2 linked regions of the Danio rerio genome follow. The protein of the gene in region 1 interacts with the protein of each later gene in a pairwise test. Links are inferred from orthologs where the notes say so. Each region holds a gene or a part of one and is shown on either strand. Other genes may lie near its edges.

The links.
Region 2: the proteins of cep44 (region 1) and pop5 interact in binary tests that used the Homo sapiens proteins (3 or more experiments, as listed by UniProt). The two-hybrid records come from large-scale screens. The link is inferred for Danio rerio from reciprocal best matches to the Homo sapiens genes CEP44 and POP5.

What each region holds. Positions count from the first base shown.
Region 1 is NC_133176.1:41,471,510-41,487,188, forward strand, and holds the start of cep44 (centrosomal protein of 44 kDa), read left to right. Parts: upstream 1-8,080; 5' UTR 8,081-8,183; intron 8,184-8,343; coding exon of another isoform or gene 8,344-8,345; coding exon 8,346-8,434; intron 8,435-12,343; coding exon 12,344-12,491; intron 12,492-15,511; coding exon 15,512-15,658; intron 15,659-15,679. Other genes in the region: fbxo8 (F-box only protein 8), read right to left, coding at 1,775-2,115. UniProt on the Homo sapiens protein: Centriole-enriched microtubule-binding protein involved in centriole biogenesis. In collaboration with CEP295 and POC1B, is required for the centriole-to-centrosome conversion by ensuring the formation of bona fide centriole wall.
Region 2 is NC_133183.1:49,715,762-49,731,759, reverse strand, and holds pop5 (ribonuclease P/MRP protein subunit POP5), read left to right. Parts: upstream 1-8,284; 5' UTR 8,285-8,317; coding exon 8,318-8,337; intron 8,338-8,452; coding exon 8,453-8,601; intron 8,602-8,725; coding exon 8,726-8,875; intron 8,876-10,794; coding exon 10,795-10,878; intron 10,879-12,966; coding exon 12,967-13,073; 3' UTR 13,074-13,417; downstream 13,418-15,998. Other genes in the region: olfml2a (olfactomedin-like protein 2A precursor), read right to left, coding at 5,540-5,617; E3 ubiquitin-protein ligase RNF10, read left to right, coding at 14,227-14,374. UniProt on the Homo sapiens protein: Component of ribonuclease P, a protein complex that generates mature tRNA molecules by cleaving their 5'-ends. Also a component of the MRP ribonuclease complex, which cleaves pre-rRNA sequences.

The sequences.
Region 1 (15,679 bases):
TAACAGAGCAAGGAATTTTTCACAGTATTTCCTATAATATATTTTTAGAAGTCTTATTTGTTTTATTTTAGTTAGAATAAAAGCAGTTTTAAATTTTAACAAAAATATTTTAAGGTTAATATTATTAGCCTCTTAATGCAATATTTTTTTTTCAATAGTCTACAGAACAAACCATTGTTATACAATAAGTTAGCCTAACTAACCTAACTTGCCTAGTTAATCTAATTATTAAGTTAAGCCTGTAATTATCACTTTAAGCTGAATACTAGTATCTTAAAGTATATAGTAAAATATTATGTTTTGAAAAAAATCCTCCTTTCTAACCAGAAATTGGGGAAAAAAAATATACAGGGGGGGGGGGGGGGGTAATAATTTAGTGGAGCTAATAATTCTAAGTTCAACTGTATTGATTACTGAATAATTAGACATTGATGTGAATACTTAAACACAATGTTATGAATTTATTTACAACATAATAAAATCCATTTACAGAACAGTTAAAAATCTGACCATAAAACACTGTTTGTTAGTGAGAAAATATTTTTTGTTGAATATTTATTACAAAACAGTTAAAACCTTTTGTAATTAAAAAGAAGACATGTATTCAGGTATTTGTAATAAGTTGTAATTGGAAATAGTATTTTTGTAATAGTATTTATTTATCATAGGGCAGCTGAAACACTATTCATAACATCTTTTCTTTCTTTCTTTCTTTCTTTCTTTCTTTTTTTTTCTTTTTTTCTTTCTTTCTTTCTTTCTTTCTTTCTTTATTTCTTTCTTTCAAAATAGTGAGAAATCTAAAAGCAAAAATAATACTTTTTACTTCACATCAAAGCAATTGAAACAATGTTTGGAATAATTACTTGGAAAAAAATGTAAATTATACAGATATATTATTTTAGTTTTTTATTTGAGGTCCACTCACTAGAGGCTTAGTAACTACTAGCTAGTTTTTAGCAAAGTTTGATCTTACTTCAGTTGCACCACATGTTCTTAAGGCAAACTGCAGTAGGTCGTAAGCTCTCCGTAAAGTCATGCGTATTCGCATTGAACAACATAATATCCAATAAAAAGAATTTAAATCATTAAACTGTTTTAAAATTATGCAACTAACCATCAATATATAACTGTCCTATGAAAAATGAATGACAAACTACAGTTTTATAGTACATTACATTACAGTCAGTCACTATAACAGACGGTGCACAAACCTGCATTGCGAGTCCTGAATGCACGTGAAATACAAATGAAGTTATCAAAACATTAAACTTGATTTTTTTAAAATATCCTACACATGAAAGAAAAGAGCATGAAGAAGAACCAAGTCATGAAGAAATTCTCGTTTCATTGATGGATCACTACTTGAAAGAAAATTAAACTATTCTTTCACAAACCAAAAAAATGCGAGATTTGGGAAGAAAATATGGCTGAAAGGAGATCATTCTTCACTATTATTGTGAGCTCCTCAATGTAAACTAATCTCGGTCATCTCTTTTCAACCGTTATACATGGGAGAGGCTGCCTTAAATATTTAGTTGGAACGTAGCATTACGGTTGAACTAAGTTCGGTGGTGCAAAAAAAAAAAAATAATTTAGTAGTGTGTAAGTTGTAACTTCAGTTTCCCTTTAAGTCACAACTGGCCTGTTTCATAAATCATTCAAATATGCTAATTTGAAGTCCAAGACAAATTTATTGTCATTATTAAATGTTAAACTCAACATCTGAGAAACCCCTAAGACAAAATTTGGTATAAAAATTGAACACTTGACTGACCCCTGCCACAGGTACTCATCACTGCCCAGGTCTTGCCACACGCAGGAGGCCAGGCAGAGGTCAGTGGCATTCAGGTAGGAGAGGATGGTGATGCTGAGTTCTGGCGGCAGCATCTCAAGGTCGATGAAGCCCTGCTCCGCTTTGCCCTTGCGAACGCGAAGCAAGTGACTGATGTCGGCGCCGGGCACCTGGCACTGTGGTGTGCGGCGCTGTGGCAGCCCTTCAACCAGTGGAGACCCCATCCTCCGGACATGCTCTCTGTCCCGCTGGAGGAAACACTGTTCACTGTACTGCTGCTGCAGCTGCTGGTTCCTCGCCACCCTCCACAAACTCTGACCCATCTGCAGATCTGAAAAAAAATCAATAAAAAAATAGACTCAATTTCTGTTAATTTTAGCCATACATTGGTGAAAACAGTACAATATACAGTTGAAGTCAGAATTATTAGCCCCCTGCATATTTTTCCCCAATTTCTATTAAACAAAGAAGATTTTGTTCAACACATTTCTAAATGCAATAGTCAATAAATAATTTTATAAATAATTTTATCTCTGCCATGATGACAGTACGTACTATTTTGTATAAAGTGCAATTCAAGGCTTAACTAGATTAATTAAGAAAATTAGTACTGTACCATTGTATAACAATGGTTTGTTCAGTAGACAATAATAAAAATAAATAAATAAATACTGCTAAAGGGGCCTAATAATATTAACCCTAAAAAAAAATGTTTATCACTGCTTTTATTCTAGCCCAAATAAAACAAATAAGAATGTCTCCAGAAGATAAATATTATGGAAATACTGTGAAAAATTCCTTAAACATCATTTTGGAAAAATTGAAAAATAATAAAAAAATATATATATATTTTTTCACAGAAGGGCTAATAATGTTGACTTTAACTGTAAAACTATCTTGTCTAGGCTTACAATTAAAAATAAATAATACAATTTACTTAGCATCAGATAAATTAAAATATTACACAACCAACAGGTCACTCCACTTTTTGCTCCATTGACTTCCATTCAAATGTGTGAATGCGACAGACCGGAAGCGCAAGCTCGAATTGAAGTTTCGAATGTCACTGTGTTTCAAAGGATGTGAAAGCATGAGACCAATAGAAAATAAAAAAATATGGAACAATCGCTAATTTTATTAGTGTCAGTGCTTCATCTTTATCCTGTTTCTTTTTCGCAGCCCCATTTGACAGAATTACGCATGCTCAAACTTTAGTGAGACTGCAGCTTTAGATAAAAACTAATATGAATAGTGTCTGACTCATATATAAAAAGCAGTAATTTGCATTTTTGTTAAAGCACCACAGCTCAAAATTGTGGAGCACCCCAGCACCTCTTCTTGAATCCTTCTTCTTCAACTTCTTCTTTTTGACTCTCGCTGCCCCAGAATTACTTTTAGGAATGTTATATGAAATTTGGCACAAAGATATTCAGTATTAGTAACATGAATCTTGTAGTCTCTAGGTTAATCTAGTCGGGATGCACGGTTTACCAGTACTATGGTATTATCGTGATAATATGGCCCTAAAATACTGGCCACTGTAGTTTGTAAATGGTAGTATCGTCATTAATGGTCTATTTACAATAGATAATGTTGCATGTGGAAAAGTCACTAATATGCTAACACATTTGTGCAACAATAAACCATTTTATTTGAATAGTCTGTGGAGCCCTTTAAGGTTGCAAAACTAGGTAGAATTCAGACCTTTTATGGTGGCCTATTGCATGTTTTTTTGGTGTTTCAGTTCAAACGTACATCTGAATTAGTTCATTGCTGTTCCTGTCAATTGATTCAGTAGCTACAACCAGTTCTCTTAAAAAGAACAACTCATAAAGTTACATTTTGAATACCTGATGAGACAAAAAAATAAAAAATAAAATAGATGGAAAAGCACAAAAGAGCAACAGGAAACAATAAAACAATTTGTGACCACTTCATAAAGCCTAATTTTGTTGAAAAAATATACTTTTTGTAACGAACAGTTCGGTATAACTTGAATTTTATTTTTTATTTTTTGGTAAGTATTTCTTACAATTGTCATTTATATATATATATATATATATATATATATATATATATATATATATATATATATATATATATATGCACATATATATATATATATATATATATGCACATATATACACATACACACACACACACATACATACATACATATTCATATTCATATTAATTTTTTTTTCAAACAACATTTAAAGCTCAAAATAATTCCAAACTTTTGATTTTATTTTTGTAGCATAAATAAAACGTTGAATTCCTGCATCCTTCCGATCTATAAAACTCTATTAAAACAACTCTGTCATTAACCAAACTGAAATATGTAGCACGTGCATCACATTTCGATCACCAAGACCTATAGTCTCAGCTCAGTTTCTGGTTTTGATTTCATATACATTAAGCAGAAGAAGCTGATGTAATCTCAGAGACATCTGACACACGCAGCCCATCCTGCTTTTATTTTCCATTTGGCTAAGAGCTTTTGTATATCATATAATCTCTTATTGTATTTATTATTAAAGAAGGGATTGTATATAAAGCCTTTTATCTCTCTGCCTTATGTTCCTATAAACTAAAGCAGAATAATCCAGAGGTCTCAAGCTCTCAGCACTTCAGTTTTGATTTAGATCATTTCTTTTAGGGTCCCCGAATCCTTACCTCTTCCAACAACCCTAGGGAAACTGTTTTTAGTGTTGGTTTGCAGTAGTCAGCTGGGAAATAAAACCCCCGATGGCAGCTTTATCTCCACCACAGTAGCACTAATCCTCTCTCGGAGATATGCATTAAGCCTTTTTATGTGACTCCCTCCAAGGGCCTCCACATCTCGGTCTACTGTATTAGACGTCTTGTTATTCTAGTCTTTAATGGCCTTTTGGATGCTCTCTCTGAGTTTCTAACATGACAGCTTTTCTCATATGAATCTGACATAGAGTTGCACAATGTCACGGCACCTGCTTCTTGGCATTCTGTAGGAGGAGCTTGGGAATTTTTAGACCTGCTTTGCTTTAAATACGGACTGGAAATCTGAGGTCAATGAACTCTGACAAGCAATTTCCCTCAGCTTTGCCTAAGGGCAGAAGCATTTCATGAATCATTAAAAACTACTTACGTTTATTAGGCCTATGATGGTATCATATTTTCCGGTTTTGATAAGTGCTGAATCTTTCAGCATGGTGTATGGCGTTATCAGGATACTAACATTGTTTAAGAAATACTCTCATCAAGAACAAATAAAAAAGTTTTTTTTTTTTTTTTAACAGATGTAATAACAAAAAAAAAACAACTACTTTTTGTTTATTCTTTAATGTATATAAATGTTTAACATAAACTCAAAAACTTCAAATGTTGCAAAAGTTTACATGTACTCTTTACAATAAACTCTCGTAAGTGATTTTAGGAGATCTTCAACAGTGGGAAACAGCTAGATTAGATTAGATTTAACTTTATTGTCATTATACATGTACAAGTACAAGGCATGAAATGCAGTTTAAGTCTAACCAGGAGTGCAATAGCAGCTGCTATATATAGGTATAAGCTATAAAGTGCAATTATAAAAAAATAATAATAATAAAATAAAAATAAAAAAACTATGGTGATATTTACAGATGGATGCACTATAAACATTATATACAGGTTATATTAACTATTAACAGAGATTTACAATAGATGAAAATATGTACAGGTTGATAATAATCAGAGGTATGCGGGCAGATATGAACATAATTACAAATGTATATGTCCAGAGGGTATGTACAACTTAAGAAGAATTAGTGCAAAGTTGTGCGATGAGGACGAGCAAAGTTTGCTAACCAATCATGTATGTATGTAAAAGTATGAAACAAACTGAATTATTAGTTATTATTTTAATTAAAACTTGTTTGATTTTAATGAGTTAATCAAGAAAACATTAACAGCACCTATGATTAATGTTTTCACTCTCAGTTTAGCTTTTATAATTAATGTTAATTGGGATGTACTGTAAAGCGTAAACAAATAAAGAATCAGAACATTTCAATCAATATTTTGGGCATGTCATACGCCAGATTAGCATCTTGAAAAAAAAAAAGTAGTCCATGAAGACTTTAAGCATTTGATGCTGTTATAAACACCATTTCTAATACCATAATCTGAATGTTATGAAAAGGACTTCTGAAAGGTGAAAAAATAAACAAGTATTGACTTTATTTTGAAGTGCCACAATAACAGTATCATTAATGTTCATTATTATGATATACTAATTTTATTAAATATGCACATGCCTTACTAGTACTATAGTTATACTATGAACATCTATGTTATTCATATTATTATTATTAAATATCAGGAATTTCTTCATCTAATTAGTGTTTCTATTAAAAAAGAACGTAAACAGAACTGGCAACTCTATTTATGTTATTATCATGCCACTCTTGTTAATACAACAACCAGAATATTCTTAAAAGGACTTCTAAAAGGTGAAATAATAAACAAGTATTGGCTTTATTTTGAAGTGCCATGAACACAATACCATCATTGTTCATTATTATGATATACTAATATTATTAAATATGCATATGCCTTAAGATTATCATAGTTACATTACAAACATCTATATTATTATTATTATTATTATTAGATACTAATGATTCCATCATCTAATTAGTATTTCTATTAAAAGAGAAAGTAACTCTAAATATGTCACTATCATGTAACTCTTGTCAAACTGTTTACAGTAAATTGGGACAAGCTGGAAAGAACGGCATTACAAGACTGTCACTGCTGACAACTGTTTACAGTATCTGACAATTATATTAGCCTGATAACGCAAAACGTATTATAACTCTGACCCAGTTTGCATTGCAGTAGCCTTTATGATTTCTGTCCTAACAAAGAAGAACTCGTCTTACATATTACATAACTACAAAACAAGTTAGCACGAGCTCCGCTTTGTTTTACACTAAATAAATGTGTATTTTTTAGAGATGTACTTTATCAAACTTTTAAGTTCGACGACTGACACACAAATCGAGGTACATTTTTAAGAAATAAGTCCTCCATCATGTTTGGCTGAAGCACAAATCCCGCCTCGCCCTAACACTATTGGCTAGAATGCCGATTTGACACATTAACTCGCCCTCCGATTGGCTGTCGCGCAAAGTGACGCATCGAAATCTTCTGTTTTTATTTTCGCAGCGTCAATCGCTCAAAGCAGCGCCACCCACCTCTGTGTGTATGAAATACTTCTACCGCCGCCGCGACGAAATGACTCGCTGGTCTGCCACAGTCTCGCGGGTGAAATTATCTCAGTCCTTTAACCGGAGCCCAGTACAGCCATCGTGACAGCTCCAACGCTGCAGGTCGAGGGTGAGACAGTCCTGTGACTCTATCATTCATCAGTACAGTCGCTCCTCCTGCCTCTCTCTCCGCCTCCTCGAACACTCTGGCCAGACTGACGTTTCTTGTTATTGGTGGAAGTGACGCAAATCGCGTAAAGTAAATTGAGCACGAGTACACTCAGTTGCACTTTCGTTAAAAACTTTTTTTCTTTTTGTCGTCTTGGTCAAGTTCGTGTGGTTATTTGATGTGAAACATAGTCCTTAGTCTTTGTAATAAATATTCATTCATTCATATGTTAATTTTTTTGGCTCAGTTCCTTTTTTAATCAGGGGTCGCCACTTAAAAATCGCCACCTTATCCAGCATTTGTTTTACACAGCGGATGCCCTTCCAGCTGCAACCCATCACTGGGAAACACCATACACTGTCATTCACACACATACACTAAGGACAATTTAGCTTATCCAGTTCACCTGACTTGTAGGTGTAATAAATGTACAAAGTAATATTAAAATAATTTAATAATGTAAGTCATTTAACATGTATTTATTTGGTTGTTTAAATGTTATTTTTTTGGTAAATTTTATTATTATTATTATTATTATTAATAATAATAATATTAAATGTATTTTGTTTATTTATTTATTTCTATATATATATATATATATATATATATATATATATATATATATATATATATATATATATATATATTAAATAATAAACAAATGTGTGATTGATAAATAAATAAATAAATAAATAAATAAATAAATAAATAAATAAATAAATAAATAAATAAATAAATAAATAAATAGAATACTTCGCTTAATTAAGTTCGTCAACCAGTTCATGAGACTAGCACTAACAAATTATGTATCTTTTTGTATTTTGGACAGAACCTAACAACCTAACAACCAGACATGAATGTGCAGAAGCGAAACTGTGGGTGATTTTTGTATCCACTGCATAGAAACCAATAACAACAATCTTGAATCCTTTAGCGGCAAAAACAAAAGGAAGGGATTAGCAATAACTCCGTTACTAATATTTAGCCTTCGGTAAGAGTTTTGGTTTTCCAAACGTTAATATAACAACCGTTTTTAATGATTTACCTTTGTAGACAAAGGGTAACACACACGTTGCTTATGAATGATGAATTGACATCGCTGTATGCATCTAAACTTGTTAATAACAATGTAACTCTTGATGAAATGACAGAGATGGCCACTGGTGACCTGAAGGGATGTCTCAGAAAACTGGAAGCGTCTCTTCGGTCTCTGAAGTATCCCAGAGATGTGGATTATCAAAGGTATGGAGTATCAATGTTAAAAGAATAGTGTAGTTCAAAAATAACTCGTTATTTACTCAGGTTTTTGTTGTTGAATCTAGATTAACTGTCTGTCTTCGAAACACTAAATCATTTATTTTGGGAATGTACTTGCGGTAAAGTGTTTTGTATTTCCACAAAAACTACTCTTTGGTAACTCTCTGAACTTAAATCCTTCTCATTGTAAATTTATTATTAATTTCTTGCTTTTTCAGGCTAAATGTTACATCCATAAATGAAGTAATTTTTTGAAGAAACACCCTTATTATTTTCAGAAATTCTTTATAGAACTCTAATAATTAATTTGCATGTAAAACCCTTTCTTGGTGTAAATCATGTAAACTTTATTTATGTAACTTTTTTTTATCTATTTGTTCTTATGGTATCTTTGTAAGTGTTCTTTCTTGCATACTAAGAAAAAAAAACTTCTGTCTTCAGTTTATTTGTTCAGAAAAACTCAAATGAAAATGTTATGCAGAGTGTCAGTTGTAGTAACCATTTAATTAAATTTGTACAGAAAATAAATGTTGATAGTGGCTGAGACTGTAAGTAATTCAGTTATATTATAATACACAGACCAAAAGACATGAGTAAAAATGAGATTTTGGAAACACATCAACTAAATTGATATGATTTTAAATACACACTAAAGCATATTAAATGTAAGTGTCTACTTTAATGTTTATTATATAATGCTCCATTGTCATTCAACATAACTTATATTTATTTTCTTAATATTTTTTTATTAATAGTATATTGATTCATTAATATTGATAGTTGGTATTAATTAAGGCTGCACAATATTTAAAAAATCTGAGATTACAATATTTTGTTTTTCTGTGATATTTATTGCGATTATGCGATATGATTATAATTATTTCACCAGATGACTTGAATAGCTCAATTTGGAAAGAACTCATACATTTATATTGATTGGAAGACTTTTGAAGGCCAGATAATCTGCATACATTTTTGGTGGGTCTAACTGTATTCAAAAATACGTTGAATATTCAAATGAAAGCAAATAAAACAGTAAATTCTTCATTGTATAAAAGTTAAATGCAATACATTTTTATTGTTTTAATTTTTTGTACACAAATTAATTAAAATCTTTAAAAACAAATCAAAAAAGCACTCGTTTAAGGTTAAACTTTACAATCACTCAACAGGATGGTTCCTGGTAAGCTATTATTCCAATCAAATTTCCTGAGGGATGAATAAACTGAAGCTGAACTTGACACTGTGGATTGATGTGACTATTGTGAATGATCACATTGCGATATCGATGCTGAAATGATATATTGTGCAGCCCTAGTGTTTATTCGATATTAGTTTATTAATTATATTTTAATTGTATAATATAAAATAAAATAAAAACTTATTCTGACCTGTACATATTAAAATACAGTTGAAGTCAGAATTATCAGCCCCCCTGAATTTTTAGACCGCTTGTTTATTTTTTCCCCAATTTATGTTTAACGGAGAGCAGATTTTTTTCAACACATTTCTAAACATAATAGTTTTAATAACTCATCTCTAATAACTGATTTATTTTATCTTTGCCATGATGACAGTAAATAATATTTTACTGGATATTTTTCAAGACACTTCTATACAGCTTAAAGTGACATTTAAAGGCTTAACTTGGTTATTTAGGTTAACTAGGCAGGTTAGGGTAATTAGGCAAGTTATTTTATAGCAATGGTTTGTTCTGTAAATTATCTAGAAACAATATAGCCTAAAGGGGCTAATAATTTTGTCCCTAAAATGGTGTTTAAAAAATTTAAAACTGCTTTTATTCTAGTCGACATAAAACAAATAAGACTTTCTCCAGAAGAAAAAATATTATCAGACATACTGTGAAAATTTCCTTGCTCTGTTAAACATCATTTGGAAAATAATTAAAAAAGAAGAAAAAAATTTGAAGGGGGCTAATTGTTCTGACTTTAACTGTATGTAAACAAATATGTTATCATATAAAATGAACTGTCTTTTAAATGGTTGATTTTTTAATTTATTTTTTATTTTTTGCTGATATATAAATATCATTTTATAAGGCATTTTGTGGCTGTTCTGTGATCCTTAAATATTGGGTTTTAATATGTCATCAAATGATTCTTGTTCTAAGTGTACTTTGCACTATTTTATGGTGTATAAACTAGAGTTTAATTAGACAATTTAGTGGATATCATATTTAAATACTGGTATAAGTGCACAATATTTATGAGTTCTCATTCATTCATTCATTCATTCATTTTCTTGTCGGCTTAGTCCCTTTATTAATCTGGGGTCGCCACAGTGGAATGAACCGCCAACTTATCCAGCAAGTTTTCATGCAGCGGATGCCCTTCCAGCCGCAGCCCATCTCTGGGAAACATCCACACACACATTCACAAACACACTCATACACTACGGACAATTTAGCCTACCCAATTCACCTGTACCGCATGTCTTTGGACTGTGGGGGAAACCGAAGCACCCGGAGATAACCCACGCGAAGGCAGGAAGAACATGCAAACTCCACACAGAAACGCCATCTGAGCCGAGGTTTGAACCAGCGACCCAGAGACCTTCTTGCTGTGAGGCGACAGCACTACCTACTGCACCACTGCCTCGCTCATTTATGAGTTCTCTGAATAAAAAAGTAATTAAACAGGACATGTTGTAATGTATGGGGGAAAATGAAGTTGGATGAGTTGTTGCTGTTGTTATTATTATTGCTGTTGCTGTTGTGTATTATTATAAAAACATTTTCTCATTTATCTAAACATTCACAAATGCTTCTACTGAACCATTCTAAGAATTATTACTGTATTAAATAATAGTAAAATGTAGTTTCCAAATAATTTAACATGGAACAATAAAGCATACATTCTGAGCAAAAGATTTTCCTAAATCATTTTCATAATCATGACCCTGATCACACCCATGCCAAAAGACTGGAAGTGGAAATTTGCAAAGTACACTATGGCTGAGTGAGCAATTTATTAATGTTTATACTTGTTTTACATGCATGTTAGCACATAAAAATGTATATTTGCTTTGAATAATATCCATTAACTATACATACATGGAACAATTAGTGTCCTTTTTCTGTATGTTGACTATCTAGCAGATGCTTTTATCCACATTAAATTAAAGGTATACGTTTCATCAGTCAATGTTTTTAATCAGTTCTATTTTTTCTGTAACCTCAAATGTCAATATAAAAGAACATAATCTTGTTAAATGTGGCCACAGAGACAAATCCTAGATTTGTAGATACAAATCTCCACTTCCCAGGGCTTTACAAATCCATCATCTGAATGATTATTTCATATGCGGTCAGCAGAGATGATATAATATATGCAAGATGTAATCCATTAGACATTGACGTTCCCTAATTCCACCATTCATTTTTTATTTTTTTGGCCTTGACTTTGAAACATCTTGACTCAAATAAACATCCCAAAATAAGACTCTGTCAGTGTTTCATGTCCCGTATTTTGTTTTGAAGTTTGGAAAGTTGAAGACTTGTCCGGAGCCTCCCCAGCGCTCCGCTATTTTGTAAACAGGCTTTACAAAAACCAGCTCCGTTCCTCCACCAAGACCCCAAGCTGCACATCAGATGCTCAGCTCAGAGGTTTTGATGTGAGATGCATCAAACACAGAATGCTCCTCAGAAAGACAGATCTATTTTGGCTTGTGTATGCTGGAAAGATGACTTAATTTGCCTCCAGCACGACACTCAAAATGGCTTGCAGACAGCTTTTATTTTTCAAGTGCTGCCACTCTTTTAAACATTATATTTGATTTAAAACCTCGATTTGATGTTGATTTTATGATGACGTTTTATGAATTGTTTGTCATTACAAGTCCTTTATAATTTAATATTGTGGTTTCCTCTTCCAGATTGGCTGTTGGAGATCCATCAGCGTGTCTTCCTATTGTAAGCTTTGCCTTCACGTCCTTTTCCCCCTCACTCACAGAGTACCTGGTCGATTTTGGCGTGGAACTAACCGGAATGAATGATTTGCGATTTATTGAGAATGTGTACAAGGTGATTATCATTCATCATATTTTTATATAGCTTATTAAATATTATATATTTTGATGTAGCTTAGTATTTATTTATTGTTTTATTTATTTATTTATCTCTGCACGTAGTTTGTAAAGCTTTTTAAAGGGATAGTTTTTGGAAATTTACTACATTTCTAATTGACTAAAAATCACAATTTACTTAAGTGGTTCCAAAACTTTCTATTGTTGAACACTAAAGAAGATATTTTGAAGAATGCGGAAAACATGTAACTTTTTACTTCCATAGTAGGAAAAATACTGTGGGAATCAATGGTTGCAAGGTTCTAGCTGTCTTCAATATATACAGTTGAAGTCAGAATTATCAGTACCCCTGAATTATTAGCGCCCCTATTTATTTTTCTCCCAATTTCTGTTTAACGGTGAGAAGATATTTTCAACACATTTCTAAACATAGTTTTAAGGACTAATTTCTAATAAGTGATTTATTTTATCTTTGCCATGCTGACAGTAAATAATATTTTACTAGATGTTTTTCAAGACACTTCTATACAGCTTCTGTACAGCAAGTGACATTTAAAGGCTTAACTAGGTAATTAGGTTAACTAGGCAGGTTAGGGTAATTAGGCAAGTTATTTTATAATGATGGTTTGTTCTGTAGTCTATCAGAAAAAAAACGTAGCTTATAAAGGGGGTAATAATTTTAATCTTAAAATGTTTTTTTTAATTTTTATTTTTATTAAAAACTGCTTTTATTTTAGCTGAAATAAAACAAATAAGACTTTCTCCAGAAGAAAAAATATTATCAGACATACTTTGAAAATTTCCTTGCTCTGTTTAACATCATTTAATGAATATTTAAAAGAGAAAAAAAAAATTCAAAGGGGGCCTAATAATTATGACTTCCACTGTATGTTTATGTTTAACATGCAATGAAGCAGTACTTCAAGAGATTCATTCAAAATGCTGATTCATTTATTATATGCCAAACCATACCATTAAAATATTTATTGATTTCATTAATGATAAAATTTAAGTCCACTAAAGCATTTTTAGTTTAGCTGCCTATTCGGGTAACTTTTAAACTATTATATTTTAACTATTTCTATAAAAAGAATCAGGGTTCTTAATTTATCATGAATCATGTAACCCTACTGTATACATTTCTATTTTTTTTTCCCTGGAGAATGTGAAAGAAGGCATTTTGAGGAATGTTGGTGCAGTCTGAGAAATAAGTTCATAACAGAAAAAAACAAAAACAAAAAAACTGGCAGCTCATTACCAGGTTTTCACATTGGATTTAATGTGACCAAAATCAACCCAGACAATTTATCATTTTATTCTAAATTTATTATTTTATTCTAAAAGTGTCAAAAACATTTATTTTGTTGAACAGTAGATTTACATTTTAAACATCACATTTCAGAGCAGAGATCAAGGTCTCATAAAACAATTTAAAAGTGTGAATCAACCAAAAAACAAACAAACAAACAAAAAAAAAAAAAACACCCTGGAAATATTACAGCAAAGTATAGTCATACAATTAACTTTTTTAAATTTAATCCAACCTTTTGGTGACCATTGGCATCTACTGTATAGTAAAAAAAAGTTTTTATAAACAACATATAACCTTTATGAATTAATAATGACCCAAGTGTAATTTGTGAATCATTCCTTTAAAATACATTCATTCCATTCATGTTTTAGCATTTAGGCTAGTTTCTGGATAGTATATTTTTATTTAAAATCAACAACAGATCTTTATTAACATGCTTGACATCACAGCCCACTTTAATTTTGACTTTTTTAAACTGTTTGCAGTTTCTTTTAAGAGCTAGTGGTTTTAATGAGTTGGTTATTTTAAATGGATCAAAGTGCTTACAGTTGCCTTTTCCCAGTTATGAGGACACAGTTCATTTTTAGGGTCAAACTCTAAAGGCTTTTTAACTCCGAACAAGCCATTAATACTGTTTTTCACTCCCTCTTTGAAGAGGTTGATTAATATAAGCCTTATTTATTGGCATTGTCTCGAATCTGGCAGGGTTTAATGACTCGGTTTTCACTTATTCCAAAATTGTTTCAGTTTCTTTCTTTTGTTGAACATAAAGAAGATATTTCAAAGTATGTTAGAAACATGCAGCCATTGACTTCTATTGCATTTTTTTTCTACTATGGATGTCAATATTTACCCGTTTCCAACATAATTAAAAAAAATTACTTTTATTGTAAAATAGATGGTGAGTAAATGTTATTTTGGGGTGAACTACCCCTTTACCCCTAAAATCAGAACCGCAGGTCCTCTCTGTGAAGGTCTGTGATTTGGAGCATCTGTAGCTCTGAAGCAAAGCATTCAGATGTTCAACTGGCAGCTCTTCACCAGCAAATCCTGAGTAATTACTATTCTCCACTCGCATCGCTCTCCTGCAGTGAGTGAATAAAAGAAGAAGGCTTGTTTTCATGCTGGTCCAAGTCGTCTGATCTCAGATTAACTCAAAACTGATTCTGTACGTTCAGCCATGGGACTGACTGAAGCGCTGCTCTGTCTTTCAGCACTTCCTCCTGTTCGCTGACCTTTTGTGCAGCTCTTAAAGTTCTGGCCTTCATCCCAGTATCATCTGAGGCTCACGTAAAATATTCAGGGGGGAATTAGTGGTCCCTTTAGATTACCTTCAGGGCCTTGGTGGCATTTGCTAAAAATTAGAGACGCTGTAACAGGAAAGTAGTGTTTAGCAATTCAATCATTTTTTTTCCAGTCGTCGTTTTTTCCTTCGTGCTACAGTACATCTCACTGTTTACATTTGCGTATTCCTGTGATTAGTCTTAGTGGCTCCTCTGGAATTCCAAAAAGTCTACAAATCTTTTTTTTTTTTTCTTCTTCTTCTTTTTTTTTTTTTTTTTTTTTGTTTGGGATTTTAATCCACTTAGAGGATCATTTCCTTCCAGTTCCTTTAATGCGTTAAACCTCTCAAGTTGTAATATTTATTTTAAATCACTGTGTTTTGTTGTATCTGTGTTTTGATGAGAAAATCCCTTCAAATGTAGGTCTTGCGGGATGTTTTCAGCTATAAACCACTGTTGACCAAACAGCAGTTCCTTCAGTTTGGGTTTGCAGAGAGGAAAGTGAGCATTCTCTGTGATGTCATTGGCCTTGTTCTCAGCAAACACAAAGAACTCACTAAAAATAGCAAGGTATCGCTGATTTACCCTCAT
Region 2 (15,998 bases), on another chromosome or scaffold:
TTATTTACATTATTTTTAAAAGTTTTTTATTTTATTTTAAAAAGACTTTTTATTTAAACAAAAACAAATGTTACCCACATACTGTTTGCTATGGAATGCAAAAACATCAAGCTAAATATCTTTAAATCATTCAGAATACAGATAGAACCTTATAATTCCAAGGTGACTACATATTTATTTATATTATTTCTTATATGTTATATTGTTTCAAACTACTTAAAAGCCAATAAAGGTGACTGTTAAACTGTAGAGTTGGACTTTCAATATCAAAGTTGACAGAGCAAAGATTGAGGTACAATTCACAACTGTACATAACCATAAACACTTATGGAACACAGTATAAAAACTGTTAATTAACAGATATTTTTGACAGTGCATGTGCCATATAACATACAGGATAATATAATTACATGTGATTTAATTTTGAATTTAGGTGTCACTGTTGTCACATTCACCAGCGATCTAGTCCATGCAGATCGCTGGAGAACTACAAATCTGCAGCAAAAGAACTACAAGATCCAATCACGCACCACTCACACACCTGGCCTAGGTCCTGTCTGATTGCAAACACTCACTGCTGAAGCTGCTCATGAACTGATTACATAGACTATAAAGTCAGCACACAAATACACAGAAGTTGCTGAGTCTTGTTAAAATGTGTGTGACATTACAACATGATTTCCTCTTCTTTCCTTGTCTTGCTGTGTTTTTGACCATCCGCCTGTTATATGACGATGACTCTTGACTTGCCCGTATGCATCTGTTTGCTCCTGTGTTGACTGTTACTTGCCTGATCATTCTGTTTAATAAATCTGCGTTTTGGATCTGCACTCCCTTGTTTAGCATCACCTCACATTACAACTGTTGATTGTCTAGACGCTTCAAATACTAGAGTGCATTTGATTGGTCAGAATATCTGATTAGAAGCTGAAGAGCATAGTGATGTCATGAAAATCGTTGATTTCCATCAGAGGAAGTGGTAAACTGCAAGTAAAAACTGCGTTTTTAATACTACAATTTAATATTATATTTAATATTATATTTCTAATATTATATTCTTAACATAATATTTTATTAATATTAGACTAAACTTATTGATACTATAAAAAAAAAGAATTTTGTTTTCATGGGAAATGTAAGGAGATTTAATTGTGTTAGTCTTTATTCATTCATTTTCCTTCAGCTTAGTCCCATTATTCATCAAGGGTCGACACAGTGGAATGAACTGCTAACTTATCCAGTATGTGCTTTACACAGCAGATGCCCTTCCCACTGGGAAACATCCATACACTAACATTCCCTACTGCCAATTTAGATTTACTGCATGCCTTTGGACTGTGGGGGAAACCGTAGAAGAAACCCACGCTAATATGTGGAGAACTGGCAAACTCCACACAGAAATGCCAAATGATTTAACAGGGACTTGAACCAGTGACCTTCTTGCTGTGAGGTGACAGTACTAACTACTGAGTGTTGGTGATGGGCTTTATTTGGCTTTAATGTAATTGTGTATGATTTTGAAGGGATAGTTCACCAAAACAAAAATTAATCTACTCATCCTTTATTTGTTTCAAACCTTCATGATTTTCTTCTGTTGAACAAAAAAGAAGACATTTTGAAGAAAGCTGAAAAACTGTAACCACTTACTTCCATAGTATTTGTTTGACCTACTATGGAAGTCAATGGTTGCACATTTTCAGCTTTACTTCAAAATATCTACTTTTGTGTCCAACTAAAGAAAAAAACTCATAAAGGTTTATAAGTGGATTTTCATTTTTGGGTGAACTATCTTTAATGATTCAATATGTGTTTTATAGTACATGTAAACTATTAAAACAGGCATCTTAATACTGTGGTAATTTCTCACAGTGTTAGTCCAAAAACACTGGAGTGGATTTAGAGTAAGGTCAGAGGTCTAAAATGGCAATTAAATTATATTACTATGCCATCTCAAGGATTAAAGATTGGAATGCTCTGGCAGTGCCAGGAGTAATTTAGGCCAGGGCATATGTGCCAAAATATGCTGCCTACCACACTGGGAGGGGAGATTGTGTGAGAAAGCTCATTTGTTAAGTGTTGTTTGACTTATTCTGTGTGATCTGTCTGTGAAACAGGCTGTGAAAACTTCCCTTTTCCCCATTTGGGCTTTACAGTCCTGTTGCACTACTTAAATACACAGATCTGGAAACAGACATGAGTGATGCAAGTAAACATTCCTGGTCTGGTGAACTGAATATGAGCTCTCTGATTGGACAATCAAATCTAAGGACTGGAAATGGACTGTTATGCAGTGCATCTTAGCAAACAGAATAATTTAAAATATGTTTATTGGGGTGGTCCACTACGATAGCATATATTAAACTTTAGTTGATGTGTAATGTAGCTGTGTGAACATAAACACATCTCTGAATGTAATATGCACAAAGTTCAACGCAAAAAGATACATTGGCTTTCACAGCGTTAGCTTAGCAAAGCCTACAGCGAACAAAGTTTGGGGACTACAAAAAAATACATCCGGGTTAGTGAGATCAAATACACTTCCGGTTACACACATTCACCACGCGGATACAACGTAGGCAGCAACAGGGTGTGGCCAGTGGTGCTGTAATGTTAGCAGAGAAAGCTAAAATGGTGTCCAAAACACTGCTATTTCCACATAGCTTCTTCTGTTTTCATATTTTGTCACTTCCAAAGGACACGACACAAAAAGAGAAGTGCTTACAATTTAATTTCAGCTATGTTCCAGCCAATTATAAAAAATATATAGCTAGCACTTGACAAAGGACATCTCCTAGTTCAGTGCTGGTTTTGGCTAAAAAATACTTCAAGCTGTGGATTGTGAGCCACAACCTGTAAGTATTTATCTTTGGTAAAATTGATAATTTACATGCATAGTGTCTAGCGTTAATGGTGTGTTGTTGCGAGGATGTAAACATCACTGTAGACATTTCCTCGAGCGGAAATAATGTCTTCTGAATATAATATAATATAATATAATATAATATAATATAATATAATATAATATAATATAATATAATATAATATAATATAATATAATATAATATAATATAAAATAATATAATATAATCAATTTGGGTATTTTGGGTAATATTATTTATGATTTACGATCAGCAAGGCAGCATTTGTTTTATCAAACAATACAGTAAAACACTAATTACTTAACTAATATTTTTTTATGAATTGACTATATTTGAAAATATATATATTAACCCTATAAAGAAAAGTTGCCATTTTTGCAGTCTCGAGAAACAATTCATCTTATTATCAATGTTGAAAAAAAGCTTGTGATGATTATTAATAGTAATATTTGCATTGTTCGTATTAAACTTAATGTTATGTATTTTCATTGTAATTGCATGTTATTGCAGTAATAAGTACACATTCTAAAGTGTGAAAAAGGCAGTACTTTTAGTTGCCTATATTACAAACATAAGCAACACACTTTATTTATTTATTTGTAGACACCATTTCTTTCATTGTATTGAATACAAGTAATGATTCAAACAACATTTGTGAGAATGAAATGTATAAAGATTTAAAAACATATTTCTTTAATATTTTGGGTCTTTTAATATATCACTAAATGATTCTTGCTCTAAATATAATATTGATTGGGTATTATTTGACAAATAAAATGAAGAATCAAATGATCAATTTAATAATTGATGCAAAACAATATATATATTGTTATATATTATACAAATTTTCTTTCTATCAGACTTCTTCTAAGTCTGTTGCTCACATATTTTAGGAATGTCCCTTTGTTAAATCTTTATTGTCTGATGAGAATACTTATAATTGTCCAAAAGGTTTGAGGTGATTTTTTTTTAAGCTATAAACATATTATTTTGGGGTTTTACATGAAAGAAAATCAATTCCTTAATTCAGGTTTTTGTATTAACCCACACTGTAAAACCCAAAAAGTTAAGGTAACTCAAACTGTTTGAGGAAACCAATTGCAACAAACCATTTAAGTTCAAAAACTAATCTTAATGACTACTGTGAACTTAATCTATTTGAGTAAATGAAGCAATTTGAGCACAGTAAAACCTGATAAATGAAGAGAACTCAAACCAACTGAGTACTGTAAAACTCATTAAGTTAAGGCAATTTAAGCCATATTTATTTCTGCATTCATTTGTGTTATTTCATGTGCCCCCCTCACTCCTTTTTTATTTATTTATTTTAATTTTATTATTTTATTATCTTTTTCTTTCTCATTGCCATAACATTGTAATACTGAAACAAATGACAAAATGAGTCATTCTCTTTTTGTGCAAAAAGTAATATTTGCATTGTTTGTGTTACTTAATCGTCTGTATTTTCACTGTAATTGCCTGTTATTGTAATAATAAGTACACATTCTAAAGTGTGGAAAAAGGCAGCATTTCAGTTTTAATAATTGCATATAATATACAATTGAAGTCAGAATTATTAGCCCCCCTGAATTATTAGCACCCCTGTTTATTTTTCCCCAATTTCTGTTTAACTGAGATATTTTTTTCAAAACATTTCTAATCATAATAGTTTTAATAACTTATTTCTAATAACTGATTTATTTTATCTTTGCCATGATGACAGTAAATAATGTTTTACTAGATATTTTTATGATACTTCTATACAGCTTAAAGTGACATTTAAAGGCTTAACTGGTTAATTAAGTTAACTGGGCAGGTTAGAGCAATCATAGGCAAGTTATTGTATGAAGATGGCTTGTTCTGTAAACAAATGGAAAAAAAGAAAAGGTTTAAAGGGGCTAATAATTTGCACTTTAAAATGTTTTTTTTATTATTAAAACTGCTTTTATTCTAGCCAAAATAAAACAAATAAGACTTTCTCCAGAAGAAAAAATATGATCAGATATACTGTGAAAATGTCCTTGCTCTCTTAAACATCATTTAGAAAATATTTTTTTTTAAAATTCAAAGGGGGTTTAATAATTCTGAATTTAACTGTAAACAACACACTTTATTTATTTATTTATTTACTTATTTATTTATTTATTTATTTTTATTTTATTAGATTATTTTAGATCCAATTTTTACAGTGCAAAAATGATTTAGATTTCACGTTTCCCTCATCCTTTATTAAGACAGATTAACATTATACATTTGACCTCGTGGAATTTCATGTTTCATTAACACTGATTACCGAACACGTCATTTCAAAATCCCCTGATGAACTTCGTTTCAAAATCTCACGAATCCTACAAACACCAATAACTCTCTCATCCATCCAGAACTATTACAAAACCAAGAAAATGTTGTCTGTGCTTAAATTGGCAGGATTTGTCTTCAAATCTGCCAAAAACATCATGTGCAACGAACGAATGCCATAAGACAAATTGCAATAATCACAGATAAATGGGCGGAAAAAAAAAGAAAAAAACGCAACTGATGAAATAATTTAACTAACAGGTAATTGCAAAACCGTATTTGGCAACACACAAATACAAACACACACGCTGTGCGTAAATGCAATTGTACGAAATACGATGTAAACATGAAAATCTCTTTACCTTACTCAAAGATCTTGCATCTCTGGTCAAAAGAAGCAGATAAGTTAAAACACTTGCGTAGATCCACATTTTTTTCATCAACTAATCGAAGTCCTGCACAGCTTCCACCTGATGGTATAATTTGGCGTCTCTGAAGGCACCTGTAAGCTCAGTCTGGTATTATGAGTCTAGATCCTCCAGAACACAGGTTTAGGGCTCCATGATTACAGGTCACGCAGAGTTATGAGTGTATGTGTGTGTGTGTGGGTTGTGACGCGCAGCAGCTTCAGCTTCAACTCCGCTTAGATGTGAGATGATGAACGCCCACCATCACCATCACCATCATCCTCTCTCACACTATGTGCAAGGCGGAGGAACACTGGCACCACTTCTGTACCACTGAGACATTTATGTGTTGTGCTGATGTGTAGCTTTTCTTTCCAGGGACATTTATAAGTGACCGACGACCACTGTAATTATATTTCTATAATAAAAAATAGTTATTATGAGAAGTACATTTGGAGGTAATGCTGTAGACACAAATTAAAGGCAGATGATTCTATTTGATGTAGTCTTCTATGGTATTGTCAGTGATAACAATGTAGCCTGTCGATGTTGTTAATGCTTGAATTTGTGGATATGCGCTTCATGTTTTCAGGAGACCTTAAAGCAAAGAACTTTAGGTTAGGTTTTTAGCTGTTATCTAGCGCCCTCTCTCGGTTAATGGTTATAAAATCGTCCACAGAATGAGTAAAATCTTAAATGTAAATTCCTTTTCTTTTCTTTTCCTTTTTTCTTTTGTTTTTAAAGGCCATCATTATAATAAGAAATAAAACATTGAAATATTTATTTTTTATTTATATAGAAATAAATAAAGTTACTGAACATTTTATTATGGTAAACAAACAAATTAAAATTAAATAAGCTTACGAAAATTATTATTTTATTAAATTATTATAATTAAAAGTAAATTATTAGCATTAAAAGTATACAAAAGATTGAATTAATTTGATTAAAATAAATTATCCAAAATTAGATAAAAATAAATATGACATATATAATATATTCTTTTTTATATATGATAATTATATATTAATTTGATAATTTTCTCAAATAATATCATAACCATTTTAATTTATTAAAGTTTTTCATTGAATCGTTTAAAACAAATAAATATCCATTAGACACAAAGAAGTAAGTATATTTATTACATACATATGCTGAAAATAACAACAATAATAATGTAACTTAAAAGAAACTAAATATTTTCCAAATAATACTTCAGTACCATTTGTGATATATACTTTTTTCATTTATCATTGTTTGTGTCTATAACACAAATAATAATAACAATAATAATAATAATGCAGCTTAAGCTTAAAAATTTTCAAATAATATTTTTTGCCGCATTTTTGATATTAAATGGGTTCGACCCTGTGCTGAGTCAGTATTTCTGTCACGTTCTCCCCGTGTTCGCGTGGGTTTCCTCCGGACTTCCCCACAGTCCAAAGACATGCGCTGAATTGGGTAAGATAAATTGTCTTTAGTGTGCGTGTGAATGAGAGTGTCTGAGTGTTTCCCAGTGATGGGTTGCAGCTGGAAGGGCATCCGGTGCGTAAAACATATGCTGGATAAGTTGGGGGTTTATTTCGCTGTGGCGACCGCTATTTAATAAAGGGACTAAGCCGAAAAGAAATTAAATGAATGAACTATTTTTTATTTATATATTTTACGAATATTATTTTTGTCCAATTTATGATATTATTTATTTTACATTTTTGTTTTTGTAAAACAAATGTCTGAAAATTCCTAAAAATCGCAAACATTTTATTTTAATACTCTTTTTATTAAGTCGTTTAAAACAAATAAATAGCCTACAAATTACACCCTAAAGATTAGGTATATTTACATACATTCTGCAAATAATAATAATAATGTACCTTAAAAGAAGCTTAATATTTTCCCAAAAATATTTTAAACCCATTTATGATATTTTTTTTCATTTTGCATTTTTTGTTTAAAACACTGCAAAATCCCTAAAATCGTAAACATTTAATTTAATACTATTTTTTTATTAAATTATTTAAAACAAATAAATATAAATTAGACCCAAAGGAGTAAGTATAGTTATTACATACATATGTTGAAAATATTAATAAGGTAACTTGAAAGAAATTTAAAAATTTCCAAATAATATTTTCGTTCATTTATGATATTAATTTTGTTTTTCCTTTTGTATTTTTTGTCTAAAACAATAAAATTCCTGAAAATCGTAAACATTTTCATTTAATATTTTTATTTATTGTTTTAAACAAACAATTACAAATTAGTCCAAACATATTTATTTCATACATGCTGAAAATAATAATAATGTAACTTAAAAGAAGCTTAATACTATATTTCAAATCATATTTTACTCTCATTTAGGATAGATTTTTTTTTTCAGAAAAATTTTATGTGTGTTTAAAACACTGGAAGTTCCTGAAAATCATAAACATTTTAGTTCAATGATACTTTCTATTAAATTGTTTGAAACAAATATATCCAAATTAGACCCAAAATGCTATTTATAACATACACATTTGGAAATAATAATAATGCAACTTTGTGAAACGTAATATTTTCTAAATAATATTTTAATCCCATTTATGATCTAATTTTTTTTGCATTTTGCATTTTTTGTGTGTCTAAAAGAACATTTACGTTACCATATAATAACCCCGCCTCCTCTAGCACCATTGGTCAAATGAAACCCGGAAGTAAAGTGTTTACAAAGATATTTAACCACATGTTGAGAATATGGTCAGATTCAAGTCAAGGTAATGAAGAAAAATAACTTATTTTTCCGGGTCCCGGTTTTAAATGCATAAAATAGCTAAATTTAAACGTAACCTTTAGATGCTTAACAGTTTAAACATGTTACTGTTTTACCAGGTATTTGCTGTGCGAGCTGTGTGTCTCTGAACCCAGCAGTCTTCATCTTTTCGAGGATAAAGTCGTGTATCAGGCACTCAGAGGGGCTGTGAACCGAGCTCACGGCGACTACGGAGCGGCGATTTTTAATATAACGTTAGGCGTATTAGGTAAACAATGAGATGTTGTTAAGATTTTTAACATAACCTATTAGAAATAGTAATCACTTTTTGTGATGTTGATACTTAATTTGTTTAGCTCAGTTTATTTAATATCTTCCTTAATGTTGTGCAGTGAAATATCTGAATGCCCACACTGGGGTGGTGCTGATCCGCTGCAGGAAAGCGCATTATCGGCTTGTGTGGTCCTCTCTTCCCTTCATTACTTTCCTGGAGAACAGAGGACAGAAAGTGCGGTGCTTCTTCAACTGCATTCATGTCGGAGGCAAGTATTAATCGGAAGCTAGAATTAAAATTTAATAAAGGTTATTGCTAGTCACACTTGTTTTAAAATTGTGATACTTTGTTTTTGACAAATCTTACCTCCTTTTCTTTTCGTACCTGCAGTTCTACATTAAACAGATATAAAATGAAAATCTTAAAAGGTGTATATTTTAATTTGTAAGGAAAAAAGTCAGTTTGTATGGCACTGTTTTTCGTTTATCCAGATTGTAGATTATTTATGCAATGTTAATCCAAAGTTTGCATTTGATAAATTGAAAAAGTTTTATACCTGACAGTTTAAATATTTTTGGCCAGAATTTTGTTATATTTATTCACAATTGTGAGTCAATAGAAGGGAAGAATATTATGAGATACAAACTCAAGAGTATGCAGTGAAAACCCTTTAAATGTGAAATAAAAGTTGCAGTGACTTTTTTTTTTTTGGTGTCAGACTTTGGGTCTGACTGTTCTTGTTTCAAGCTGACAACACACTATTCTAATTTCATTTCTTGCAATGATTAAGATACAAACTCAGTTCTGAATCAAAGCAAGACAGAATGTTTACACATAAGTTTCAATTAAAATAGAAACCTTATTCATTTAGACAACTTATTTGCACTAGTAGATCATTATTCTGAGAACCTGATAATGCGGACTGTTGTACAGTGTTTATTTTATTTTATTAGTTTTTTTTTAAATAAATAATCTAATAAATAAAATAGCAGTAGTAGTATTTTTGCTTTCTTGTTTTTCTTATAATCTAAACATTAATAGTTATGTTACAACTTTAATGAAACTGAATTAAGGTCAGAATTATTATTAATTTTTCTTTTTTTAAATATTTCCCAACTGATGTTTAGCAGAGCAATTTTCACAGTATGTCTGATAATATTTTTTTCTTCTGGAGAAAGTCTTATTTGTTTTATTTCAGTTAGAACAAAAGCAGTTTTCATTTTTTGAAGAAACATTTTGAAGTCAAAATTATTAGCCCCTTTAAGCTATATTTTGTTTAGATAGTCTAGATAGAACAAACCATCGTTATACAATAGTTAGCCTAATTACCCTAACCTGCCTAGTTAACCTAATTAACCTAGTTAAGCATTTAAATGTCACTGTTGTATAGAAGTGCCTTGAAAAATATTATGTACTGTAATCATGGCAAAGATAAAATAAATCAGTAATTAGAAATTAATTATTAAGCTTAGAAATGTGTTGAAAAATTCTTCTCTCAATTAAACAAAAATTGGGGGAACAATAAACAGGGGGGCTAGTAATTCTGACTTCCACTGTATAGAACTATGTGTTGAGATAATTAAAAAAAACATTTTGTCATGATAATGAGAAAACATCTTCTATCAAAATCAAAAGTAACTGAAGTTAAGATCCTGTGAAAGTGTTCATTAATTTAATCTCTTAACACAAGCGATGCTATTTTAAACATAAAATTATAAACATAAAAAGGGCAACTTTTTCATTTGTTGTACAGTATTCTTACAGTGAGTACAGTGCATCCTCAGAAATATGAGAATTAAAAGGAATACATTTTGAACTTTGAGATTGCGTATAAACTCAAGATTACTGGATATCATTGCTCCTTTTTTTAGTCGCAATTGTAACATGTTTTCTTGCCAGTTCCTCATTTGATGCTTACTCTTTTGATTACTCATTTAACCGGGATTAACCTAAAAAGAAAGTCACAGTTTACTCACCCTCTACCCGAAAAAGGATATGTGAAACCTTGATGACTTCATGTTGATTAAATGTCATGCACAGAAGATGTTCAGAAGAAATGTTTACCCCTGTGCACGTGCAGGCTGCAGTATATTATTGCATAGTGAACATTTTTCTGTCAGAGCTTTACATGGTTGACAACAATAAGCACACAATTTTACATCAGTTCCTCTCTGATCTTTTCCACAGGAACCATTAGAACGAGTCAGAAGTTTCTTATTAAGTACAACAGACAACAGCTCCAACGAATGCTCCTAGATTGCAAGACAGATGGTAAGTTCTGTTGTTACATTTATATAATGTATGAACGCTAAAGAGTCCATAAATTATTAGCAGTAGTTTTACTTGCTTGTTTTCTCACGATCTAAGCATTAACATTTATATTTGAGCAGCACTAAATGTTTTCTGTACGTAGCTTGTTGTTTCCTTCTAGATTATTTACTAGGGCTGCACATTATATCATTTTACTATCCATATTGCAATGTGATCATTTGCAGTCACATCGCAGGATCTGCAGTGTTGAGTTAATATTATAATTAAGCATTTGCATGTGTTTTTGTGGACTGTGAATGTATAATGGTTTTAAAAGCATTCAGGAATAAAAAAAATTACCATTTGTAACTTTAATAATGATTCATTTTATTGAATTATTTTTATTGTTCCATGGGGTATATGCATACCAACTTTTATTTTCAGCCAGCCAGCCCCAGGGCTTCCGTTAATTGCCATCCCATAGAAAATTACTGCGTTTAATATCTGATTTCTTTAAAAACAGCAATCTTCACTGCCTGGCTAAGATACAATATAAAGTGGATCTCAGACTGAACAAGAAGCACTGCATTAAATTATATTTTTCCATCCATATTTTTAAAATATGGAAATTAATTTTACCCCAGCATTTACAATGGAATTTCTGCGCTGGCCTGTGGCTAACAACGGTGCCTCCCTTTAAACAGTCTTTTGCCTCTGTTTACGATTTAACCACCAAATGCTTAAGTCTTTTTAACTAAATGTATTTTGATTACATTAAAATTTTAATGCTGTAAAAGGAACCTTATGAAATTGAAAATAGTCACACAAGGCTCTCACCGGAAGTTGATCATTGGCTGAAAAACACTAGCTGTGCATAAAGCCCATTACTGTGCCCGAACACTATTAGACTATTAGTTATATATATATATATATATATATATATATATATATATATATATATATATATATATATATATATATATATATATATATATAAAACACTGTTTATTTCAGTTACAGTATATCTATTCTTTTGCAGATGCACTGCCACTATTGAATCATCCAAATCAATCTAAAATGATTAATACTTTACAAATAGAGATTTTATTGTCACCTAGTGAAATTGTATTCACATCGCAATATAGATTGCAGAATAACAAAATATTGCTGTGTTAGATGTTTTTCATTATTGTGCAGCTCCATTATATACATTAAAAGTAAATCTACAAGAACATTATGAAGTTAGATGGTTGCTAATGTCATCAAATTGCTAGATCTTTAATGGTCAGCGCCTATCCTACATGACAAATAAGACTTACGAGTATGTCTCGATGTCAGTTAATATTAATAATGCTTGTATCTCGAAAAAATAGAATTAATTAAAAGTGCCGTTCTTTACTGATTCAGTGTTATTTATTACCCTATATGGGAACACTTTACTTGAATGGGTGGTCATAAGACTGTCATTAAGCCTTTATAATCATGAAAAGGCTCATGTCAAGAATGTAAATGAGACTTTAAACATGCTTATGACAACTGTCACTAAGTTTAATTTTCTCAGTTATGTCATTTTAAATGCAAAGATGACATTGTTTGTTATGACAACTTGACAAACAAATGCATCACAACCTGTTTCAACTTAGGTTAAGATCACAAGGAACATAAGTTGAGATCCTGAAAAATTGTATATTATGTTACTATCTTAACACAACAAATAAGTCTAAACATAAAAATTATACACATAATAGCATAACATAACATAACATAACATACTACAACATAACATAAAACAATTAACATCATTTTAATATTGCAAGAAATATACAGTGAATAGCCTCTAATTAAGGATTTTTATAATTTTAAGCACTAAATCAGTTTACTGTATGTATTTATTATTTAGTTTTTTAAGAGTGGTTGCTGATGACATTCCAAAAATACATTAAAATGCAGTATTTATTTATTTCATTTATTTATTTATATATATTTATTTATTTTAAGTGCAGCGTTCTTTTTATAATTCACAATTTATTTAAAACGTTAAAATTATTTGTTTGAGAACCACTCAAAGATTCACTCATCATACCATCACTCTTTTTCTCCACAACACAGCTGAAAAACAAGATGTCAGGAAAGCCATCCTGAGCTGTTCTCTGAATCTGATCAAAGGAGAGGAAACTGATGGAAGTGATGATGATGGTGATGAAGAAGACACCTAAAATTCCCCATATAAAAAAGCACATACGGGATGTGTACTTCATTAAGGCAAGATGCAACCATGCAGTGGTTTGGATGACATGGTGATGTTGTTTATACATAATGCAGTTGAATAGTGAATTGTTATGTGGTTCCCGAACTGTAATAATAATTGATTTGATGCTTTTTTATTTTATACATCAATTATGAATGTGGTTTATGTTTACAGGACTGTTTAGTTGTATGAATGCCATGTGCAGTGATTTTTTTTTCACCTCAGAAAGCTGAAACAACTTCTGGTGCTTCTTGCTGTTCACTATAGATTTGTAAGCATTTGTTTCAAATAAAGTAAATATGAATAACTCAATCAATACTCATTGCTTTGACATCAAATCAGCTATTCTAGGTCATTTTCTCAGTGTTTACCTGTTTTAAACATTTATGACTTGCTTTTAAACATTTATGATTTTCTTTCCTTTGTGTTTAACATAGCAAATAAATAGTACATTTTCATTTTTTTTTTTTTTTTTTGGTAAACTTTCTCTTTAAAGTCTATTAAACAGACTATATATATATATATATATATATATATATATATATATATATATATATATATATATATATATATATATATCAGGTTTTCAATCTTTTATGAATTTCCAATAATTTTACATGAGAAATGTATTAGGTAACAACCAAAGCATGCGAGAACCATGTCGTGTAGTCAAATGCGCCAATCAGAATCGGCGAACCTGCGCGTGCGCACTTTCTGACCTCTCCGAGGCTTATAACCCTCATCCGGGTGTTTACGGTTCCCGATTGGCGACCCGTCGCCATATGTCTGTATTTCCTTAGCTGGAGTAAGATTTGGGTTAAAACCCATTTATTTAACCGTTTTCCTCTTTTGGAAAACGGCTAACGCCTTGTGGGGCGTAACACTTCCCACGCCGAGGAGAAACTGCGCTTTTCAAGGGGCGAGGCCCCGCTTTTTGGGCACTTGTTTTTTGTGTTAGCACACAGGCTTTTTTAACTGAGACATTTGGATTGTGTCTCTGTTTTTCTCTTGGTTTGTTTGTGGTCAAGATGTCGCCGTAATGGGGTCTCCGTGTTTGTCAGAAATGAATAAGGGCCTTCGTTGCCTGACCCGCAGCCGCAACAACTCGTTTACCCCGTTTAATGCTAGAGAGCTCGGAGGCTCTCACCCCGGAGTTCGGCCTCAACATGGAGAAAAATCCAAACGCCAACAACAACAGCAGCAGCACGAAGATCCCGCCCCGTTCCAGCTCTACAGGCCTCAACCCGACAGACTCTAAAGCCAAAACAGGTACAGAATCAGGGCCTTGTACAGATAAACACACGACTGTCATGATCAAAACGGGTTTTATTGCTTGTTTGCGGTTTTGCAACGACATGTTTTTGTTTGTCTGTCGAGATGACGTAGCCGCGGCTAGCGATCGTCCCGCAGCTTTGTTTAATAAATGTGCATAAATTACATAGAAGAAAGGAAGCTAACGTTAATGTAGTGTCCTTAATAAGCACTAATGTTATATTAATCGATCTATGCTTGAAAACATATACCTAAAATGAGAGAATAAATAATTGTAAAGCATGTTAAGAAAGACGGTTCTTATGTAAGTTGTCTATTTACTTTTAATAGATCTGTTTAAAGTTAAAGCGAGGTAAATTATTTAAACAAATAAATAAATAATAACGACAGTGTGAGGGCTAACTTAATTTTGTATCTTATTTACATGTATCTATGTAAAGTTTGTCAGTGAACTGAGGTATTTTTTTACACAACTCGTGTTGAGTATATTGTCGTTATTAATAGAAAACACAACAATGTGCTTATTAGATAGACGTTATACTTCATTCAGTAACTAATACTAGTTTTACTGGGTGTTGGGACGGTACCAAAATAGTATTTCTTAAAAAAAGGAGCTGATGTCTGTTGTTTTTTAAATAAATTTAACTTTGGTTGATCTGTCGAAAGTAATTACTAAATGTATTATATATTGTCACAAATGTAACTATATTCAGTATAAGGTAGAAATTAGCTCGCAATTTTCTTCAAATATTATAAACGGCCTTTAAGATGTTTTTGTTTATTTTTTTGTAAATAATTTGGGAAAGTGTATTTAAACAAATAAGTATAAAATAAATTCATAATTAATAATAAAAATAACAAAAATAGTAAAATTCCAGGTGCTTGTAATTTACTGACATAAATTAATAATTTGCATAATATGGCTGAAAGCTGTAAAAGGTTTAATCAATGTAAATTGTTCACTCAGTAAATAATTAATACAAAGAGCATCCAGAAGGTGCATAGATCCTGTTAGAGTTAACATCAACGAGACTCCATTTATTTGATTTTAAGTTAATGTTATTATTAAACATAATTTTATGCCCTTCTTAACCCTCAATGAGAATATATTTTGAGATTCTGTTTATAAAATACTATTCAACAGTACTTATTATGCCAGTTAAATAAATTACATATTTTACCAACTTGATCAGACATGTTTGTATAATTTATATTCATGTCCACTTGCAATAAACTGATATTCAGATAACACTACATGGGTGGTGTCTGTGTGTCACGCTCTCAAATAGATAAATGGATTTCTCCTCAACTAACCTAATGTTTTCTTAAAAACTGACCGATTCCCGTGGGGAAATTAATATTCAGGGTTATTTTGTCTGCTGCTCCTCTTAGCAGCAGATCAGATGAATGGGGATCATGGCCAGGGTCTATTCTTGTCAGTAGTCCACCATGTGACCAAAAGCAAATCTGTGCCAAAAGCTACTGCCCTCTAGTTTTCGGATGCTATCCTCCAGCCAGTGGTGTATAAAGTGCTTGAAAGCCATACTTGAGAAAGTACAGATACCTTACTAGAAAATGACTTTGGTAAAAGTTAAAATAGAAAAACTTTGTGTAGAATTTT